Tribolium castaneum: one gene and its partner. The protein of the gene in region 2 purifies or fractionates together with the protein of the main gene of each other region. This does not show direct contact. Links are inferred from orthologs where the notes say so. Each region holds a gene or a part of one and is shown on either strand. Other genes may lie near its edges.

Region 1 (2,890 bases), on a different chromosome or scaffold from region 2:
GAGTACTACCAACAGTTTTTCGACGTAGAGACAAAGGATGTGATTGAGCGGATAATAGCCTCAGTTACGCCGAAACGGGACAGTACTTTGAAGCACCACCTTCGTCATAAACCCGACTTGTATGGGCCGTTCTGGATATCGGTCACTTTAATTTTTACGATTGCCATTAGTGGAAACATCGCTAATTATCTCCAACAGGCGAATAATCAGTACCATTGGAAATACAACTTTCGTTTAGTTTCATACGCCGCAACGGCGATTTATATTTATGTTTTGTTAATCCCTTTCGCTTTGTGGGCTTTGCTGAAGTGGAGTTCTGATGTTAATGACTTGGAGGGCCTGGAAAGTGGCACCACTCCAAGTGCGCTTGAACTGATCTGTATTTACGGTTATTCACTCTTTATCTACATCCCGGCCTCAATTCTATGGTCCATTCAGATCAATTTGTTGCAATGGTTGCTTGTTTTAATCGCTGCGTTAGTATCAGGGGCTGTTTTACTTTTCACTTTATTGCCAGCTTTGAGGCTCTCAAGACACAAGTTTTTTCTAATGATTGGGATCGCCTCCTGTCACCTGTTACTAGCGGCAGGTTTCATGTTGTACTTCTTCCACGTTCCTGCCACTTCAGTCATTGAATCCCACGATTTAAATAAAAACCATACCAAATCAATATAAATTTATTTGTAATTGTAACGCTAATAATATACAAATATAATGTAAGGTTTGATCTTATTTCAAGCGGAAGAAACTGTGACTCCAGACGAAATGATATGTCACACTTTAACACAAACACACTTCCTTGATATCAAGGAACAAGTCACGATTTCTTAATGTTTAAATAATAGAGATAGCTTAGCAGGGTATGCGGAAAGGCACAACTAAATCTTCCTTATGCTCGACTTTAATATCATTAATCGCAACAGCTGCTTTCTCCAGGGCTTCAGTAATCTGCAGGAGAGGGTTAATCGAAATTAATAAGAATTAACGAGTTACCAAGTTCCTGTCCTCTGCGCTGATTGGTTCAGACTGTAGGGTTATCTCCGTCCATGGAATATCCTCAAGAATACACGTCTTAAGCCTATTCGTTAGTTTGTTTTTTTTGCTAGCACAAACTTGTTGCACCTTGAGATTATATTGTTTCATCCTATCAACATATTCGTGCTGCTGCAAGTTGTGTGAATCTAAAGCAGCCACGTCTATTACGTTCCTGTAAACAAACAATGTACAAGAGAGTTATTGCTGATAAAGGACCAACGTTGCCGTTTCTTGTAATATCCTATTAAGTGCAGATTGTTCGTCAGTCTTTTTGGGGGCAGATTTAGAGTTATGACACAGTAAATCCTCACTATTTACTCTTTGTATGTTTGTGTTGTTTGATACGGGGTCCACAAGAAGATGAGTCCTTTCGTTCGGCTCACCGTGCTATTGTTTAAACTGTATTATTGTTGATTCAAATTGTTATTACCTGAGATGAGCCATCATCCTTGCAAAAGAAACTATAACAGCACCCCATGGTTGTAAATATAAGACGTTTAAACACAGTTTAGATCATGAAGACGAGTTTTTATCAGTGTTAGTGTTAATAATTCCCTATTTTATTTACCATCACGAAACGTCATTGTTAAATCATTGACAGGTGATCGTTCTTACCGGCCGCGCATAAATTCAACTTTTGCCGCCAGTTTTGAAATAAATAAAGTGTCCCAATGTTAGATTTGGCTCTAATAAAGCATTTAGTTTAATGAATGATACAAATATTTCACTTATAATAATTAAAACCCGGTCTACGGATATCTAAAAGTTACCGTCCAAAATTTTAGAGGAATGAATTAGAAAAAAAATGGTTGTTTTTATAACGCGTAACACATAATGAAACAAAAATAAAACAGGAAGATTGAGCATTAAATTCCCAATAGTAAAACATAAACATAATGGAAATTTTTTATAATAAACTATATAAAAAAATTCAAATCTTTACCAATTTGCACCCTGCCCCATATTTTTCAAAACGCTGAAGATATAGATATCTGGTGTCCCGAAGTTTTTTGTAGAAAATTTAATTCTCTACAGCTTTGTTCATTACATTTTTTTTGTATCTTTAAGGTGGAACCAGTGATAGGAGCGTCAACAATTACAAGATAGACAATTCAATTGTTGACCTGTCAACAGTGACGTCGACGTCAACATTTGAAGTGACGTCAACAATGTCAACTATGTCAACAATACAGAAACAATAAATTTTTACATTTTAATGACGGTATTGGACTATCAAATTAGTGTATTTGTAAGAAAACTTTAAAAAATAGAAAATGTGATATAAAAACAAGTATAAAAATAAATAAAGAAAAATAAGATTCTCAAAAAAAAGTAAGAAAAAACTAATTATTCTCTTTTTTCATCTTTTTTACGCTTCAGCCTTTATCCTCTTCGTCTTCATTCTCAAAAGAAAATGTGACCATAAAATAAGAGAGAAATGTGCCGTAAAATACAACATAACATCAAATTCTCATTGTTGACATTGTCGACCATTGTCGACGTAATTATTGACACGTCGTGTAGACAATCAAAGTCAACTCGAACGCCCATCTCTGGGTGGAACTCAAATTGATAATTCTAAGCGATAAATCTTTGAGCACCGTCGCATACTTATCAAAACGCTGGGAATACAGTTGAAGAAACAAAAAAAAGTGTAAAGAACAAAGTTGTGGAGAAATAAATTTCCTACAAAAATTTCCGACACTATATTTCTATCTTCTATAGTTTATCTCTAAAGTAACTTTCCGTTACTTGACCACCTTCAATTTTTATTTTTAACCGTATTCGCAGTCTTGAAAAATACGGGACGAAGCGCAAATTAATTTTTTTTTCATAATAAGTTTCTTAAAATAAA
Region 2 (3,761 bases):
CAAAAGTCTTGCAGAATTTTAAAATTAAAAAAGTATTCACCAAGTATCAGACTCAACCCTGCAATTTAAAATTTTTTCTTCAAAATATTTCGAGTTTGAAAGGACTTGTGCAATTGATTGCGTAAACAAATTAAAAAAATTAGAATAGTATTTCCCAAGAAAACAAAATATTTTCGTACTTATCACCATTATTTTAAACATTTTATTTTAAGGAGTCGATGCACTTGAAGGTTTATAGTCTTGTTTACTATCAAACCAGCTGATTCAATTTCGTTGAATATTTCATCAGATTTTCTACTTCCATGTTTGATAAGATTAAACAAGGACGATCAAACACCAAGTCGAGATAAAAATATTTAGAACGTTTCAACTACGCCACTGCTATTTTATCATTCTTTCTTTTGATGATTGTCAGGACAATAAAACGAATTTTTTTGTAAAAATATTTTATTAGAATCAGTCATAACAACAATAAAAAATTATTTATCACTTATAAAGAATTGTAAGAGAAGATTAAAACTGCCGAGAATCATAACAGCGGCATGGAAGATTAGTTTCGGAGTCGTCAGTCTTCCTTCCTTCTTCAAACTGGCGATTTTTAACAAACTTGGCAACATAAAAATGTAGACTAAACCACTTAAAGCCCCTGTATATCTACAAGTATACTTTAATCAATAACCAAAATGGTAACCAAATTAACTTTCTTACCTGATTAAAGTCCCTATTCTTGGAAGAAAACACGCAAATAAAATACAAATTGCCAAAATGGCCAAATTAAGTGTCATAACCCTCGGATAGGTAAATTCCCCAAATCGGTAATTTTTGAAAATCATGTTAATGTTGGCAAACACGTCGTTACGCAACATGTACGAAATCAGGGGAAACACAGTAAACAGTTGAAACAGTAACAAAATCCTAGCTATAATTGTCAAAACGTCGTATTTGTTAAAATTATTTAAGATATTCTGAAATTAAAGTTGGTACCACTACTATTTCGGTTGGTAATAATGCGTACTCACATCCTCTATACAGAACTTCGGTAACGGAAAACAAACATAGAAAACAACTCCGATAAATAAATAAGTGAAAGTCACCAAACCGAACGCAATTGTCAAATCACGTCCCTAGAATTTTAATAAAAACCACTAAAAATTAGTTACTAAAAAAACAACATACGTTGTGTTCTTGGTGTTTGTTGTTCCTCATAATCGAAATGATAATGTTGTGAATGAAATAACTCAAAGATAACATTCCGCTGAGGGCACAGAAAGTCGGTTTCATGTAAAATTCAATCTCCCAGTCTGGCATGTTAATCCCCCAAATCCCCGCTTTGGTTGCAACGAAAACAATTAAATACAAAACGCTGAAAGTCCCTAAAACCAGCCTTTTGGCAATGCTGCCACTCCAAACAGGCAAAAACGTACCTAAACTATTGAATTTTGTGAAAAAAGTTGGGCTCTTCCAGTTCAACATCGGAAACATAATCAAGCCTAATATCACAGGTACGGTCGAATACAAGTCCCAGATTCGGGCGAATTGGTTGGTCGGCGTACTGGTGGCGATTTGGACGATTGTTTCGTTTTTGGGACACAAAACTGTGACATTCGAGACGGGAGTGTCGTCCAAATGTAGCAAAATTCCTTTTTACGACAGAAATTAATGTGGGTTTGAGAGTGATTGCGGCTTTTTGACCTTGATAAAGTTTCAAAAATTCATGTTTTAAATTAATTGAATTGAATTTCCATGATAGTCAAAGCGAAAATCTATCATTTTGTGTTTGGTTAAAAATAAACACTTCTGAACATTTAATTTAATTATTTTTGGTATTATGGAGAATCATACAATCTGTAAAGTAGGTTTTTCTTACGTACGAGTCTGAGGATTCCGTAACTGTCCTTATTTTTCATCTAGAGACAATAGTTTTTGAGATATCGGTCAAAGTTTAAAGAACTTATTAAAATGTAGTTTGTTACTTCTGAACATTTAATTTATTTATTTATGGTATTCTGGAGAATCACACCATCTGTAAAGTAAGTTTTCCTTACGTAAAATAGTCTGAGGATTCCAAAAATGTCTTTATTTTTCATCTAGAGACAATAGTTTTTGAGATATCGGTCAAAGTTTAAAGAACTTATTAAAATGTAGTTTGTTACTTCTGAACATTTAATTTATTTATTTATGGTAATCTGGAGAGTAAACCATCTGTAAAATAAGTTTTTCTGACGTAAAAAAGTCTGAGGATTCCGTAACTGTCCTTATTTTTCATCTAGAGACAATAGTTTTTGAGATATCGGTCAAAGTTTAAAGAACTTATTAAAATGTAGTTTGTTACTTCTGAACATTTAATTTATTTATTTATGGTAATCTGGAGAGTAAACTATCTGTAAAATAAGTTTTTCTGACGTAAAAAAGTCTGAGGATTCCGTAACTGTCCTTATTTTTCATCTAGAGACAATAGTTTTTGAGATATCGGTCAAAGTTTAAAGAACTTATTAAAATGTAGTTTGTTACTTCTGAACATTTAATTTATTTATTTATGGTATTCTGGAGAATCACACCATCTGTAAAGTAAGTTTTCCTTACGTAAAATAGTCTGAGGATTCCAAAAATGTCTTTATTTTTCATCTAGAGACAATAGTTTTTGAGATATCGGTCAAAGTTTAAAGAACTTATTAAAATGTAGTTTGTTACTTCTGAACATTTAATTTATTTATTTATGGTAATCTGGAGAGTAAACCATCTGTAAAATAAGTTTTTCTGACGTAAAAAAGTCTGAGGATTCCGTAACTGTCCTTATTTTTCATCTAGAGACAATAGTTTTTGAGATATCGGTCAAAGTTTAAAGAACTTATTAAAATGTAGTTTGTTACTTCTGAACATTTAATTTATTTATTTATGGTAATCTGGAGAGTAAACCATCTGTAAAATAAGTTTTTCTGACGTAAAAAAGTCTGAGGATTCCGTAACTGTCCTTATTTTTCATCTAGAGACAATAGTTTTTGAGATATCGGTCAAAGTTTAAAGAACTTATTAAAATGTAGTTTGTTACTTCTGAACATTTAATTAATTTATTTATGGTATTCTGGAGAATCACACCATCTGTAAAGTAAGTTTTTCTGACGTAAAAAAGTCTGAGGATTCCAAAAATGTCTTTATTTTTCATCTAGAGGCAATAGTTTTTGAGATATCGGTCAAAGTTTAAAGAACTTATTAAAATGTAGTTTGTTACTTCTGAACATTTAATTTATTTATTTATGGTATTCTGGAGAATCACACCATCTGTAAAGTAAGTGTTTCTTACGTAAAATAGTCTGAGGATTCCAAAACTGTCCTTATTTTTCACCTAGAGATAATAGTTTTTGAGATATCAGTCAAAGTTTAATTAAAATGTAGTTTGTTACTTTTGAACATTTAATTAATTTATTTATGTATTCTGGAGAATCACACCATCTGTAAAGTAAGTTTTTCTTACGTAAAAAAGTTTGAGGATTCCGAAATCTGTCTTTATTCTTCATCTAGAGGCAACACTTTTTGAGATATCGGTCAAAGTTTGAAGAACTGATTAAAATGTAGTTTGTTAAAAAAACAAACACTTCTGAATATTTTATTTAATTATTTTTGGTAATCTGGAGAGTCAAACCATCTGTAAAGTAAGTTTTTCTTACGTAAAATAGTCTGAGGATTCCAAAACTGTCCTTATTTTTCATCTACGGCTAACAGTTTTTGAGGTATCGGCCAAAGTTTGGTTCGTAAAGATAAAG

Evidence for each region. The genes of interacting proteins can lie anywhere in the genome.
Region 1: the proteins of neutral amino acid transporter 9 (region 2) and Lamtor1 purify together in Homo sapiens (co-immunoprecipitation; 5 studies listed by BioGRID and IntAct, with this or other methods). This does not show direct contact. The link is inferred for Tribolium castaneum from reciprocal best matches to the Homo sapiens genes SLC38A9 and LAMTOR1.

What each region holds. Positions count from the first base shown.
Region 1 is NC_087402.1:9,797,154-9,800,043, reverse strand, and holds Lamtor1 (ragulator complex protein LAMTOR1), read right to left. Parts: upstream 1,653-2,890; 5' UTR 1,514-1,652; coding exon 1,466-1,513; intron 1,423-1,465; coding exon 1,256-1,422; intron 1,208-1,255; coding exon 994-1,207; intron 949-993; coding exon 853-948; 3' UTR 676-852; downstream 1-675. Other genes in the region: protein YIPF1, read left to right, coding at 1-675. UniProt on the Homo sapiens protein: Key component of the Ragulator complex, a multiprotein complex involved in amino acid sensing and activation of mTORC1, a signaling complex promoting cell growth in response to growth factors, energy levels, and amino acids.
Region 2 is NC_087401.1:13,689,878-13,693,638, forward strand, and holds the end of neutral amino acid transporter 9, read right to left. Parts: exon of another isoform or gene 3,594-3,761; intron 1,641-3,593; coding exon 1,425-1,640; intron 1,374-1,424; coding exon 1,177-1,373; intron 1,125-1,176; coding exon 1,020-1,124; intron 966-1,019; coding exon 709-965; intron 655-708; coding exon 480-654; 3' UTR 433-479; downstream 1-432.